2 linked regions of the Pelodiscus sinensis genome follow. The protein of the gene in region 1 binds, or shares a complex with, the protein of each later gene. Links are inferred from orthologs where the notes say so. Each region holds a gene or a part of one and is shown on either strand. Other genes may lie near its edges.

Region 1 (7,855 bases):
CATTGGGGACAGCTGCCCCACCAAGGGCAGGGGTCTCCAGCCTTTTTAACCACAAGATCACTTTTTCAATTTAAATGCAATGTAAGATCTACCCCCAACCCAAATACCCTTGCCTGGCTTCCTTCCCCCCCATCCCCCCATCTCTGGGGCCCTGCCCCTCCTCCACCCCTTCTCTGACGCCTCCCCCTGCTCGCTCTGTTGCCCTTCCTCCCCGCATCGTATTCACTTTCACCAGGCTGGGGTAGGGGTACAGGCTCTAGTCTTGGTTGTGTGGCAAATGCCTTAGGCCAGTGTTTCTCAACCTTGTTTTATAAAGTGCCCCTTTTTCAAAAAAAGAATAATAAGTACCCCCAGTACCTACAGTTTGCACACAATTTGTTTAACAATTTAATTGTAGTTGATGAAATATTTGGTAAAAAGTAGAAAAATAATAAAAAGCTGTAAAACTTAAAATAAAAGTTGAGTTTTCTCCAAGTTGCAGTTGTTGATGCACCCCCTGTCCTTTGGGTACCCCTAAGGGTACTTGTACTGCTGGCTGAGGGGTGCTGCCCTAGGCCACTCCAGGGTCCACCCCCCCCCCCCTTGCCTTTAAGGGGTCCCTTTCTCCTGCCAGACCCTGGCCCATCCCTGGGGCAGCTAGAGCTTGAGCCCACCACCCTGTGCTCTCCAGGGGAATGTTCTATCCCTTAAGCCACTCCAGGGCTGAGCCCACCCAGTTCTGGTGGGTCCTAGACCCTGGGGTGGCTGTCTGGTTGCCACAAGATGGGTGCAGCTTGGGTGAAATGGAGACTCCAAGCCACAGCCCTGTCCTCTGCAGGCAAGTGCTGTATCTCCTGGCCCACTTGGGAGCCCAGCCCACCTCCCTCTGTGTGTGTGTGTGTGTGGGGGGGGGGGGTTAGTTCTTGAGCTGCCAGCAGCAGAACTTGGGCTTGAACCCACCATCCTGTGCTCCCCAGGCAAATACCCCATTCTCCAAGCCACTCCAGAGCCCTGTTCCCCCTCCTCCTCTACCTTCAGCAGGTCCCTTATCCTGCCTTCCTAATCCAGAGCCAGCTCCACCCCTCAGGCAGCCTGTGTTGGCAGCCCAGCCGTTGCCTGAGTGGGTGGAGGGGGTGGCACGGAGCCCACCACCCTGTGCTCCAGAGGCTAATGCCCATCCCCAAGTTCACTGGAGATCCCACTCCACCTCCCTACCTTCAAGCCGTCCCCTCTGCCCACCCTGGGAGTGACCAGACACAGGACTAGGGACGCTCTGAAGGCAGGGCTGTAGAGTGGGCAGTGGAATGGTCTAGGGGATAGGGCAGTTTCCTGGGGAGCCTAGCAGGGTAGGTTCAAGTCTTGCTAGACAGCTGCCCAGGAATAACACAGTAGAACTAAGACAGCCCAGGCCCTGTCCCACCCCCACAAAGCACCTGGCATGTACAGCAATGGCTCCATGTGCTGCCCCTCATCCACAGGCACTGCCTCCACTGGCCACAGTTCTCCATCATTGACCAATGGGAGCTGCAGGAGTGGTGCCTACTGACAAGGACAGCATACTCTGACTTCCCTAGGGGGCTGCAGACATGCCAGCCACCTCCAGGAGCACAACCAACCCCAGGGATAATTACTCCAGACATGACCAGTTTGGCATTTTAGTACTCGAAGAATTAAATTTAAGTGTAAGAGAGAAATGAAAGTTACGAAATGCACAGTCCAGTCAAACACTAAACAGAACCCACTTTGCCAGCAGTAAAAGTAGCAACAACCCCCCATGTACGTGTGGGGTCAGGGGATGAGAGGGAAGGACAGTGTGTGTTTGTGAGTGACAGAGACACACACAGTGCGTGGGCGTGACAGAGATTTGCATTGCCAAGCTCCCTCCATCCCCCCCTCTCTGTGGATACAGGGTACAGGAGTGGGGGGAGGAGGGACACCCTGACATCAGCCCCCCCTTCTCTCTCCCACACCCTGCACAGCAAGTAGGAAGCTTCCAAGGGGCAGCCGAAGGCAGAGGGCAGGAGCAGCATGACAGTGGGGGAGGGGCAACTGAAGTGCCAGCACTTGAGAGTTTCCCGGCCAAACCCGTCAGGATCCCCTGTCAGAGGTTCCAAGATCTACTGATAGATCCCGATCGACTGGTTGGTGACCCCTGACCAAGGGTGACCCAGCAGACCAAGGCCAAAGCTTCTATTTACATTAAACAAACCCTAAAAACTCTCCCCCCTCACCAGCCTGGTGAACCAGACTGGCACACAGAGAAGAATAGGTTAGTAATGTGTTGATGTTATTTCTGTGACAAGAGAAATTTCAGGCTTCAGCCAAAATTGGGGCCCATTGTCCTATGCCAGAGTGAGCGATAATTTTTGATTGGGAGCCACTCTGAGATTTTGGTAAGTGGTCAAGGGCCGGCCTCTTCTATGGAGGGTCTGGGATGGAGGTTGGGTGCAGAAGGGAGCTCGGGCTAGGGAACAGGGATGCAGGTCTGAGAGGGAGTTTGGGTAAAGGAGGGGGTTGTGAGCTGGGGCAGGGGATTGGGGTGCAGCAGGGGGTGCATAGTCAGGGAGGGGGTATGGATGCAGGAGAGGATTCTGGCCTGTGGGAGTGGTGTAGGAAGATGTGCAGGGTCTGGGAGGGAGTTCTTGAGTAGTGACCTAGGGCAGGGAGTTCGGATATGGGATGAGGCAAAGTACCAGAGGCAGGCTCTGGCGAGGAGGCACTTACCCTTGACAGCTCCCAGCCAGCAGCCCAGCGGGAACTTCAGGCAGACTCCGTGCCTGCCACAGTCCCAGACCACTCAAAGTAGTTGGCTGCGGGTGCCTCATGACTCTCTGTACCAGCCAATAGGAGTTGCGATGATTGTGCTGCATGGGGTGTATGTGTGTGTAGGCGTGCGTGCAAAGTCACCCCACATGGCCCCCCACGGGCTGAATCCAAAGGCTTGGTGGGCTGATCTGCCCCGTCTTAGGTGCTGTAAGACACCTTCTGCCCCAAGGAGCTTTCAGTGTAAACAGAGGCAAGCACAGGGTGGGAGACAGGAAACACAGGCACTGAGCACGGACGTGACGTGCTCAGGATCACACTGCGAGTTAGCATTAGAAAGTGGGGAAAGAGCTGACATCCAGCACCCACCCTGCCCTGTGAAGCTAGACTAGCTACTGCAGTGGCAAATTTTGGGGGCTCGCTGGGGGGAGCTGTGGACCAGCCATCCAGGACTGGCCCTAGGCCAAATGGTACTCTTTGGCACCCCCTCGCCTTTGCCCTCCCAGCATTTGATGGTAGGCAGGCCTGCTGACAGGGAGGGGCAAAGGGGCCTAAGGCACCTGCCACCACCACTGTTACTGCGGCAGCAGCAGTGGCTGGACACCCAGGGCTCTTTAAATTGCTGTTCCAGATGCTGCTGAAGGGGTGGGGGTGTGGTCCCGGTGGCAATGAAGCTCAGATACCTTGGTCCTGCCCCCCCATCCCTGCTCTTACAGCCTGAGGCCCTGCCCCTTCTGGGAGCACAGGGTCACCCCCTCCCCTTTCCAGAAGCCTGGTGAGTGGCCTCTGGTACACAGGGGATCTAGTGGTCCCTTCTGGCCTTCAACTCTTTGATGCCATGAAAAAGAAATAATAGAATAACAAATAATGAGTCTTGCCAACTCCGAACATTCATAAGCCAAACTACAAAAAATCTTGAGATTGGCTTAAAAACCACGGGATTAAAAATGATAAACTTTGGATTCTTTTTGTTTGCCCTCTTGTCTTCTGAACTTCTGAGGCACAATCAGGCCATGCCGCCATCCGGCATGAAGGCTAGGAACTTAGCTTTGATTTAAAAAAAAGTGATAGTCTCTCCTAATTACATGCTTCCCAGGTGTGGGGGTTTTATGAAACCCCAGCATCTTCCGTGGCTCAGGAGAAAAATCGCAAGCCCTGCATCTCGCTGAAGATTTGTGACTGTTACAGTGACATTTGTTTTTTAAAAAGTGCAGCTATAGCAAACAGCTCACATGGCTAAGGCACAGCCCTGCTCTCCCAATTCCAACAGAGCCTGTTCGTTTTGCTTAAGCAGCTGGCTGACTGTTTAAGGAGGCTGAGTAGATAAACTCCTACAAAGCAGGATGGGGGATGCCAGGAAATCAGGTCCACTGGAGAACACTACAGGGGCCTGGACTAGATAACCTCTGGAGGTCGTTCCCAGGCCTATAGTTCTGCGATTCACGGGTTCTCTCTGCTTTTCCGGCCAGGATGCTGTCCCTCTTGGTGCTGCCATGGTGGGGTCCAGAGAAACTACAACTCCCAGGCGCCCCTGCTGTAAGTCTGGCAGGGGGGAAGAGGAGGGGAAATTGCTTTTATACTCATTAATTAATCAAACCCACACCAAAGAGGGGGCACTGAACAAGGGTGACAACTAAACTCTCCACCACGCTTTACTCTTAACCCCCCACGCAAGCGCCTCTCCTGGTGCATTATGGGAATTGTAGTCCCTCTCGCTGCACAGCTGGCCGGAGCTGCCACCCGGGAGAACTACCACTCCCAGAATGCCATGCGACAGAGGTCTGTTGCAGTTTAAAAAAAACACTCTTTGATGCCCAGTTTCCTGGGCTGCTGCTTTAATGCTGGATCTGAGCCCCCCACCGCCCCCCTGCCCCTCCCAGCCCTTTGCCTTGTTTCGTCACCTGAAACCTGTTTGCAGGCGGGAGACTCATGCTGGGGATTAAGGGGTTAAAAAAAAGCTGGTGGGGGGATGGGAAATCACCCAGGCACCATCTCCCCACTCCACCCACCCTCCCTGAAGCAGGGACTTCCTGTGACAGTTCATTTCCTGGTTGGATGGAGCTGGAGCAGAGGGGGGGCTGGAGCAGGCTCAGCCTGTAATGGTCTCTGGCTATCAGCTGCTGTTAGCCTCCCTGAGTGGCAATGGTACCTTATAACAGTGTTTCATCCAGGGCTCGTAGAGCGGCTGCAGCAATGGTAACATTGTGGCCAAGTTGCTAGCTGGGTAGGTCCAGCCTTTCTGCAGTAAAGGGCTGGGGCAGCCTTCCCCTTAGCTCCTAGGTGTGTGTGAATGGGGGGCAGGGATCCAGGGAGAGGTGCATCATTCTTTTATAACCAACTGCTTGCAGTGCTTGGTGGGAGGAGTGCAAGAATTTGTCTGTTAATATTTAGGGGAACGGTGGGAACATCTTTGGGGGTTTTAATTTTGTCCAGGGTCTGGCTGATTTTTTTAAGTATTTGTAATTGTTTGTCCTCCCCCCTCCCTTGTTTTGATACTGTCATTACAGGTCTAAATCTTACAAGCTCTGCCTGCCAGGAGGAGGGGGAAAATCATCTGCCCTACTTAAAACAAACAAGCAAAAATCACCGCTGGGAGTGGATTATTTTAATTGGCTGGAATCAAGAAGGGGAAAATATTGGACCTTGGAAAATAACATCGCCTTTGATTATAATACAGTTATATCTCTGGGGAGATGAAGAAGTTTTTTGACTCTCGTCGAGAGCTGGGGGGTTCTGGCCCTGGTTCTGGTACCAGTAGTGGAAGCGGCAGTTCTAGCGGACCAGGGAGTGGGTACATTGGCAGGGTGTTCCATATTGGGAGATACCAGGTGACGGTGGATGAAGTGCTGGCTGAAGGTAAGAATGCAGTGTCTTTATTCTCCCTTTTCCATTAACTACAAACAGAGGCTTGGGCCTTTCTTTAATCATATTTCTGCCCCCCCCCCCTTTCAAAATTTAATTGCCCTGGAGGGGTTTGTGAACTGGTGGCTTCTACAGCTGACTGGTTTCTCAGATACGTAAATCAATTGCAGGTAATGCTGGTGATTTTTATATATATAAATCCAAAGGGACAATATAAAAACAGCAGGTACTGGATTTTCCCAGCTTCAAACTTGGAATGCTTTAAAAACAACCATCATGGTACATTGTGGTGGGGGAAAGATGCACTTATGAACAACAAAAGCAGTGGTCTTCTAACTTTTTGGCCTGATTCCTTCTACCCACCTTCATCGGGGGACACCTTGAAGTAAATTTTCTCTGTCATATTTTATAGATCAACCAGGGCTAACTGCTGGTTGTGGTGTGGGATTGTTTGTTTGTTTGTTTGTTTGTATATGCGGGGCTACTGCAAAGAAAACTGGAATCCAGATTACATGTTCGGGTTGTAAAGTACTTTAAAAGGGGGAAGAAAAAACCCAACAGGAAGGGCTTGAAATCCTAAAGGTGTTTATACATTAGATGTGACATTCTTGCAATGTAAAAAACTGGTGAAGTGTGTGTAAATTAATATTTTATCTGGAGCACTGCTGCTGTAATTAGAATTTTACTTGTCATGTATGTGCTTAGGCACTAACAGAATCTTCTGAATGCTTCTTGCTGGTAACCTTACCCTCGACCTTCAGAATAATAATGTTGCCTTCCCTAGATCTACTCACAGTTCATCCTTTGCACAGCATCCTCTGAATCTTCAGTCAGACCAGTGTTTTGTCAGTTGTCTAGGGTTCTGCAAATGGATTGCCTGGAATAGGCCAGGGTTAAAAGAGAGAAGGAAGCTGGTGCATGAGAACTGAGTGGGGGGAGGAGGGGAAAGGGAGCAGTGTGTTAGGAATCTCCAACCATCTTTTCAAGTCTTTGTTGATTTCAGTTCCTACCTGGGTGGTGACTCTGGTGAGCGCTGGGGATGAGATGGGGGAGGAGGCCAAAACCTGTCATCTGGAAACACCCCACAAGCTCGTAGGTGGTTATACAGAACTTGTTCTTGTTGGGTGAGGCACTGACTTTACGGGTACAGTCTGGGTCTCTTGGCCTTTAAGGACTATAGCCTGCTGGCAGCGGGAGTCCAGGAAGGAGGCTCACTACCAGCTGGTCTTGCTGTCATTACACAGCTGGCCTAAAACTTGTTCTCTGGCCTGCAACACAGGCAAAATACATTTCTTTGCGGGTGAATAATCTCCGCTGGCAGGTCCTGCCCAGGATGCTGACAGCAGCATGAGAAAGCTTCCATGCTCCTGGGACCTCTCCTGATCAGCCCTCCTAGGATGCATTGTGCGCTTCAGTTCATCTGCGCCCATGCTTAGGAGGGGTGGGCTAGAGGCAGGGAGACTTGGCCCCTTGCTGTGCTATCAGTCACACAACCGCCTGCTGGAGACCTTTTGTGACTGAGTGTCTAGGTGCAGAGAGCAGGGACAAGGATTAAGGACTCCTGGAGTCTAAACCTGGCTTTCAATACGGTTGGCTGACTAGGGGTTGGACTGGGTCAAAGGACTTGACTCCTGGTCCCGACTCTGCCATCAGCCTGCTTGCACAAATGAATCCGGGCACGGCTAACCCTGTAAAACAGGTCTGATTCATGCCTTGCAGCAAGGCTACAGGGATGTGCGAGGAGCTGAGTCCCTTCTCCTGTTGGATGCTGGGGCCAGGGTTCTGTCCCTCAAATGAGCCCGTTGCTACGACTGGTCAAAAATTCCAAAGGAGACTCAGCACCTCGCCTCCTTGGTGCATGTCCCAAAGGCCTTGCCAAGTGACTGGTTAATAGCAGAGCATTGGGCTAGTGGCTTGGTGAAGGCCCATGGGACCCTTCTGCCCCTGGGAGGAAGGGGGAATGGAGGAAACCACCCTTCCATAAATAGAGGGTGCAGCCAAAGAAATGGGGGTCACTTGAGAAGGCAGCATAGGTCAAACTTTCTGCAGCGTCGCATTTTTCCTGCCTGTTGGCATTGCATTCAGTGTGGCACCGCAGTGCCCATTCAGGGCTGTTAACGTGTAGGGTTCTGGAGAACCGCCTAGCAACTTGGACCTTGAGTTGGTGCAATCTAGATCCATCTCGGATGGAAATGTTTGCACCCATAGGCCAAAGTGTGTCACTGACTTGACAGTTCTGAGAGACTGAGCC
Region 2 (8,151 bases), on another chromosome or scaffold:
GCTGCAAGGCAACTATTTCACCTTGATCTCAACAGTGTAACCCACAACTGAATAAGATTATCTAGGTCTAAATAAATCAGCTGCATTTGAACCTGCAACTGAAAAAGCTAAGTTTGATGATGCAACAGAAACCAGAGCCCTCTCCCAGGGTAGTACTGACACTGCACTGAACAGGTGTAAGAAGTAACTTATCTTTGTCACTGAAGTAAATAGGGTGATTTAGGGAAAGCAAGGGGAGGGGGAGTTGAGGGAAAGAGAATCTGTTAAATAAGGTGCCATTTTACACTCTTTTACTACTTTTAGAGTAGACTTGCCCTTCCAAAAAATGGTTTCTACAGATGACACACACATATTAGAGAAGTAAAATGCACTCTAACTAGGATTCCTAATATTCTAAAAGCTTCAATATTGAAAAATTTGTATGTATAGGTTATACACGCCAAATATAACAGCCTCGGATATTTGAGGAAGGTTTTGAAACTCAGCCCAGATCTGAAGAAAAGTGTCCATTAAGCACTATTTGAGGGTAGTGAACTCTAGCTGGACACTGCACTGCTATTCATACAAAGATTGTATCTGTTTTGACTTAGCTCCTCAAATCCTCTGAATAGCAGCAATTACAAGTACTTATACTGTACAGCACCGTGAGAAACTGGCATGTTCATTCAGGCACATTTTAATGAAACACCATTCACAACTACTGCACATAGTTAAACTACTTTTTTAAAAAAATTGTCAACAGATTTTGCAAGAGTAAGATACTGAAAGATCATAAATTCAGTTAATTTGCTGGATATATAGAGACAACATGAGCTATTTTCTGATTTAAGGTCCATGCCCCCTCGTGCTTGAGATATGCCCCCAGCAAGAAAAAGAGGAGAGAGGGGAAAAAAGCATCTGCTACTCAAAAGCTAACTTTAGCCTAAGACATGATTTAAATTATGTCAGTAGTCTTCCACCTCTGCTTCTTACATACACATCTACCAAAGCTAGAATGAAAGGAAATACTTCATCTCATGCATACAAAAGCAGCAAAATACTGTTATTATTTCAAACATTTGTTCTCCCTAAGGTAACTTTGAGGCCTCCCACCAACATAATAAATTAATTCTCCCAACAGGTTTTTTTAAAAAAAACAAATCTACTCCATCATCCTAAGGGACAAGGAGGGACACCCACTGTACAAGCCATCTGTCCTCACACTCAACAAGAGGATCATATTACAGAACTACTCATCTTTGCACGTTTCAGGTACCACATGATGTAGCAGACATTTTTGTAAAGTCTATAAAGGCATAGATGCTCACCCTAGAGATGGTCAGAGGCATGTTGAAGTCTTTTCCACCTTGAAGTCTAAAACCCCAAGGAGCAGGGCCGACCAAAGACACACTGTAGTTGCTCATGGTGTTGGATGCTGAAGGACTAGTTCCAGATAATAAATGTCTGTGAAAGAGGATTACATTTTAGTGTAAATCTTAATAAGCCATGTACACAATGAAATAGAAATATTAATTTAAAAGGGGGCACTGTCAACTCAAATATATGTTGCAAATAATTTTTTTCCCTGTTTTAAAGACCTTTAACTGTTAATAATGGGCTATAGAGGTCTCATTTGTTACTAATTGTCCTATCTGCTGACTTTTTGGCCTACCAGATTAGGAAATGAAAACATTATTTACTTTCTGATTCTTAGTACTGCAATATTTGGGTTTCACATACTGCATACAGTGATTTTTTTTAATAATTGTTTTCTTTGGAGAAAATGTGGAAATTTCTCCTATGTTTTTGTTTAGAGGTTATTTAATCTGGTTTTCACAAAATGTTAAGTACTGGATCAAATTTAAATTTACATGGTTCTAAAAATTACATAAGTACATAAAAATGTTAACAGTTTATGGAAAATATGTTAGCACAGTAATTTCCCACAAAATATATTTCCTGTGATACTATTAAGTCACAAGTGCACAGATGCATTCAAACACTCATTCACAAGTAGTGTGCTTGTTTTGGTTACACATTCAAATACCAAAAACTACAAAATGTATTATCGAAAGTTATTCCAAGGGGAAAATGTTGTTTCTTGGCATTTTTGCCAATAGTTTATGTACATCAGATAACTATTTCCATTTTTATAGTAGGCACATACAAGCTATTACAGAAGAAATCAGAAAAAAAAAAGAAACAAATATGCAGAGAAAATTATGTACCAAATACCAAGGCAACTTATTTAAGAAAAAGTATTTTAAGAGAATCCCAAGATTATTTTCCCTCCTCCCCCAACAAGGATGAAGGTTTACCTTTACAAAGCACGCTGTGCACTTATCTTTGATACTGAGCAACAAAATTAACAGCTTCAGCTGCACCACATACAGGCAACATTACAATGACGTCTTAGGTAGTAGCTACCTTCTATTTTTATATTTGAAGTGGAGGGAGGGGAGAGAGCGTGCACACACTAAGGGATGGATTACTGTAAGACTACACCAGAGCAATTTAAAATTCCACATTTACTTAATATAGGAAATTTAAGATCGAACTTCAGTCAAGCAGAAAAAAGTGTGTTTCAAGCATCAAGTACTGCAAGGATTATTTTTTTAGTATGTTTACACTACAGTATACATAAATCTAATAAAATGTCATTTCTATGGGACTACTGCCTGGGAAGTTCCATAAAATGTCTCACTCCAAGCCTAGAAATGCACAAAAGTAATGAGGCAAAATTATATAGATTTCTAGATACATTTCACCAAAAGAATCTAGCTCTTAAGCCTAATTTCCATATGAAGGATCAAAGTGTAATGGTCCTATTCACACCAGTAGTTCCATTTAACTAAATAAAATAGGAATATCTGGCTACAGCATGCTAACAAGATAACTTTTAGGAACTATTTCTCCAAGCTAACAACAGAACAAGATAGTCCCTGAACTACTTACATCCTCATGCCAGAAGCTGCAAAAGGACCATTGCGCCCACTGATTTCTTACGTTTCCATCTCCTGTGCTCCCACACGCAGCTGACCAAACATAGTCCCCTGAATGCCAATGCCTCCCTACTTGAAAGGATCCTTCTCTTCTTCCTTCCTTCCCTTCCCTCCCTCACCCACACAAAAGAAAATGTCCACAGACTGAGATATGATCCTTATAGAATTTGCTCATTAGTTCTAGGAAGAACTACAATTCACTGAATCATTCTATGTACTATACACTGAATTCCATCTAAAGTGCATATTTATTACAGATTTTACTACCATGAGAAAATGTTTTGTTCTCCCTAAATTAAGTTTATCATTTTAATGTGATCTCTCAGATTAATGGTGGTGGGGAAAACAAACCTTATCTAATGCATTGGAACTCAGTTTGATCACCGGTAAGTGACATGATTTCCCCCTCTCTCCCCAACTGAGAGCAAAATTAAGCATGTGAATATTTTTCCCTGAATGGGTTAAGAGGGGGAGAGTTTAAAAAATAATTCACGAAGAGATACCAGAAATTGGTTTGTAATGGTAAAAGGAATGGTAAGATACAATATGCCTCTCTGCACACACATACCCCTTTTGGGCTTGCAATTAAACTTCTGCATCTCATAAAACTAGAGAACTTTTTTGGGATGGGGAGGGGAAGGGGAGGAGAGCTACAGAAACACCCTAAGAAAACAGATTTACTGATGTGTTTGTGCCATCCTTAAAGATTCTACAGCTAACATCATGTGACTCAAAGCCCAGCAAATGCATGGATGCCCTCCTTATATCCATGGATGCAGATATCAAGAGACATGTCTGAAGATATAAAATGTGGATCTGCATCCATCTGCTATCTAGAGCCCAAATCTGCAGATATCCATGGCCCATGTTTGCAGAGAAGAGAGAGAGGTATAAATTTGGTGTATGTGCAGGGCTCTATTAATTGAAAATGAAAAGAGAATGAAAGAATTCTCTATGAAAAGAGAATGTGCAACAACTAGCTAAGGACTAAGTTGTGAAACTCTGGTGCGGCTGAACATTCAGTGATCCTTCTTGTGTAAGTGCTCAACAAAGCATTTTGCCATCTAAACATAAGTGAGGACAGGTTAAGTGCATCATTGCCCCCTGTAGGACAGAATCAGAAATGCTCAACTGTAGGTCATACTTCCAGTAATGCTAACAGATAACTGAGATACTAAAGTGACTGTGCATTCAGGAAAATCTGGTGTTCTGCTGCGGTGAATATCCCAGTATCCCCAATGTGCAGAGAAAAGAAAAAAGGAGACATCTTAAGTGGACATGTGTTATAGTATGAAATGATCAAAAAGTTAGGTTTGATTTTGTGTGTGTACTCCGTTGAACACCACACCATTTAAAAAAAGATTAAGCCTGGGCTTACAAGTGAAACTGCTGGCTTTACTGTTCCTGCAGCTATCTGGTTACAAAAGTCCCCACAGGCAAGAGGAAATGCATGGCCATAATCAAACAATTACACACCCTAAACTTGCCCAACCCAGCTCAGCTATGAACTTTCCTTCGCAAATCCTTTCCCTTCTTCCCCCCCCCCCCCCCTTCTCCCCTCACTTTTACCATTTTTGGTGCTACTTTGTGCAACATCCTTGCATGTAAAAACTAAAGCAGAGAGTGCGGGCACATGACACCCCGACACAGGCTTGCACGGTTGGCACCTACAAGACTGACTCTGGTCCCCGTTCCGCTGGCTGCTGCTGTTTTAAGCAGAGCTCTCCAAGAGGAGCACACATCAGTTACACGGTAACCCGTAAGAGCTCGGAGCTTGTCGCTTCCCTTAACACCAACAGCACGGTCGGCTACCAAGGGGCTTTCAAGGGGGGAAAACACCAAACCAACCGAAGCCACTCGCGAAGCGCGTAACAATTCAGAGCCACCCCAGGGGAGCCTCGCTTAGACACACCCGCTTTTCCTGCAGCTTCACATCGGCGCAACTCTCCGTCCCGCTCCCCCAGGGGCTCCGACCTGCCCACCCCCCTCGGGGCTTCAACGTGAGAGAGACTGCGCCCCGCGCCTTCCCCCCGGCACCAGGGGTGGATGCGCCGCTCGGGATGGGGCTGCAGACGCCCCGGAGCTCAGGCGCCTGCAGTCGCGCTGCAGAGCTGTCCCGGCCCGGTTCCCACGCACGGAGCCCCGGAGGAGGGGAGCACGCTGCGGCGCCTCCGGCAGGTGCCCCTCCTGCAGCCTGGCTAGCGCCGCACCTGAGCCACCAGCCCCCTCCTCGGCCGCAAGTGCCTCGCCGCGCTGCCCCAGGCGGTCCCCGCCCCGGCGCTCGGCACCTGCTCACCTGGGGGCTGCAGCAGCCGCGCGGCGGGAGAGGCCCGGGCGAGAGGCAGGGAGCTCGCAGCGCGTGTGAGAGGCTGGGGCTGCCGCGTCCCGCGGGGCTTGTTTTCACTTCCGCCTCGCTCTGCTCCTCCCCCGGCCCAGGAGGGATGGGGAAGTTCTCTGCTCTGCAGCCGAGCGAGAGAGGAGGAAGCCCTGCCGGGCGGGCAGCGGGGGAGGAGGAGCGGGTGAAAGGCCAGGACAACAGAGCCAAAAGAGAGCTCGCACAGAAAGTCAGGCCCTGGCCTGCCAGCCAGGGCAGCCCCGCCCAATTAGCGAAGGGTAGGGGGGTGCAAAATACTGTTCACAGCACCTAGGGTTACCTCAGTGCCACAGACATTCTGGAATAGTGATAGAGATGTAGCCGTGTTAGTCTGGTGTAGCTGAAACAAAATACAGGACTATGTAGCACTTTAAAGACTAACAAGATGGTTTATTAGATGATGAGCTTTCATGGGCCAGACCCACTTCCTCAGATCAAATAGTGGAAGAAAATAGTCACAACCATATATACCAAAGGATACAATTAAAAAAAATGAACACATATGAAAAAGACAAATCACACTACAGAAGAGAGGTGGGATTCAGGGGAGGGGGGAAGGAAGGTGAATGCCTGTGAGTTAATGATATTAGAGGTGGGGAAGGGGAGATGTCTGTGAGTTAATGGTATTAGAGGTGATAATTGGAGAAGCTATCTTTGTAATGGGTAAGGTAGTTGGGGTCTCTGTTCAGCCCCCTGCGGAGAGTGTCGAATTTTAGCATGAATGCCAGTTCAGAGGATTCCCTTTCAAGTGCAGATTTGAATGTCTTCTGAAGTAGGATGCATGTGATTAGGTCATTGAGACAGTGTCCTTTCTGGTTGAAATGGCAAGAAACTGTTTTTTTTCTTTGTGATCCTGTCTAATGTCTGTTTTGTGGGCATTGATTCTTTGGCGAAGTGTCTGAGTCGTTTGTCCAATGTACATAGCAGATGGACACTTTTGGCACATGATAGCATAGATTATATTTCTGGATGCGCAGGAATATGTATTCTTGATCTTAAAACTCACTTGGTTAAGCCCAATAATGGTATCAGCAGAGTGAATATGTGGACAAAGCTGGCAATGGGGTTTGTTGCAAGGGAAAGTACCAGGGTTGGTATTAGTGTGGTATGTCCTGTGGTTGTTGGTAAGAATCATCTTGAGGTTAGGTGGTTGTCTATAGGAGACTATGGGTCTGTCTCCCAGAGCTTCTTGGAGTTTAATGTCCTGTTCCAGTATAGGCTGTAATTTATTGATAATGTGTTGGACAGGTTTAAGTTGGGAGCTGTAGGTGATGACAAGTGGTGGTCTATTGTTGGTTTTCTTGGGTCTGTCTTGTAGTAGATGGTTTCTAGGTATTTGTTTGGCTCTTTCAATTTGCTTTTTTATTTCTCCAGGTAGGTAGTTGAGGTGTATAAATGCTTAGTAGAGATCCTGAAGTTTCTGGTCTCTGTCAGTGGGATTAGAGCAGATGCGGTTGTATCGACACTCTCCGCAGGGGGCTGAACAAAGACCCCAACTACCTTACCCATTACAAAGATAGCTTCCCCAATTATCACCTCTAATACCATTAACTCACAGACATCTCCCCTTCCCCACCTCTAATATCATTAACTCACAGGCATTCACCTTCCTTCCCCCCTCCCCTGAATCCCACCTCTCTTCTGTAGTGTGATTTGTCTTTTTCATATGTGTTCATTTTTTTTAATTGTATCCTTTGGTATATATGGTTGTGACTATTTTCTTCCACTATTTGATCTGAGGAAGTGGGTCTGGCCTACGAAAGCTCATCATCTAATAAACCATCTTGTTAGTCTTTAAAGTGCTACATAGTCCTGTATTTTGTTACAGACATTCTGGGCACTTGCCAGGACGCTGAATGACTTAAGACGTCCAGCATTCCTATTAGTGTGAAATGCTGTATAATCATCCCCATTAGCCACCCTGGAGAACAGTCCCAAGACCAGTAATAGATTCAGCTGCAGTAGAGAGGTGGATAGTAGCAGCAGTAACGCTCAGGTGTGTGGCAGAGTTGTGCTGGGTACAGCAGGATAAGGGTGCACACGTGACTACACCATTTGTGCCACACCACCTCCCACTACTAGGACCAGCTGGGGGGCACTTTGTTCTGCCAGCAGCTGAAGTTCTGAGAGTGTGCCAGTCCTGCTTCCCTTCCGGTCTCGTGCTTATCCTACGTCAGGGATGGCAAGTTATATGGGCCGATGGTGCCCAGGCTCTGGGGATATTCCTGGCCTCAGGACTGGCTCCAGCAAAGTTTGGGGCCTGGTCTCTCCTGGGTCCCATCTGCTGACCCCATCCATCTACCCCCACATATCCACTCCCCCCCACACTGTGCATCCCACAGCCAGCCTGCTGCCTTGGGCAATTTAAAAATGATGCAGGGGCCCTCACTGCCAACACCACTGGTAGTGCAGGAGGGCTGGAGCAGCTTCCTATTTACTCCCTACATGTATGGTGGCCAAAACATTCCTATAGCCCCTGGGCTAAGGGGGCGGGAGCAGTGTCTCTATCCCCTGTCCCTGCCCTGAGTCCCCTATGTGCAATGGGAGTTGTTGATGTGGTGCTTGAGAGCTGCTACCAGGGCAGGGTGCCCCAGGTAAGTGCTTCACCACCTCCTGCACCCCCACCTCTTGACCCAGCCAAGAGCCTGCACCCCAAACTTCTTCACAGAGCCTACACCCTCTCCTGTACCCCAGTCCCATGCCCAGACCAAAGTCTGCACCCAAACTCCATCCTAGAACCCACATCTCAGACATTTTCCCCACCCAAATTCCCTCACCGGGATGGAGGGACGGACA

What was found.
Region 2: the proteins of AAK1 (region 1) and PDLIM5 are in contact, whole or in part, in a crystal structure (PDB 9F6S), measured with the Homo sapiens proteins. The link is inferred for Pelodiscus sinensis from reciprocal best matches to the Homo sapiens genes AAK1 and PDLIM5. Residues at the interface, in NP_055726.4 of Homo sapiens: Asp956, Leu958, Ile959, Asp960, Leu961; in NP_006448.5 of Homo sapiens: Ala12, Pro13, Trp14, Gly15, Phe16, Arg17, Leu18, Phe24, Gln67, Ile70, Lys71.

What each region holds. Positions count from the first base shown.
Region 1 is NC_134738.1:1,521,419-1,529,273, reverse strand, and holds the start of AAK1 (AP2-associated protein kinase 1), read left to right. Parts: upstream 1-4,673; 5' UTR 4,674-5,022; intron 5,023-5,249; 5' UTR 5,250-5,435; coding exon 5,436-5,598; intron 5,599-7,855.
Region 2 is NC_134715.1:19,389,018-19,397,168, reverse strand, and holds the start of PDLIM5 (PDZ and LIM domain protein 5), read right to left. Parts: upstream 3,089-8,151; 5' UTR 2,943-3,088; coding exon 2,935-2,942; intron 2,438-2,934; exon of another isoform or gene 2,298-2,437; intron 1,444-2,297; coding exon 1,308-1,443; intron 1-1,307. UniProt on the Homo sapiens protein: May play an important role in the heart development by scaffolding PKC to the Z-disk region. May play a role in the regulation of cardiomyocyte expansion. Isoforms lacking the LIM domains may negatively modulate the scaffolding activity of isoform 1.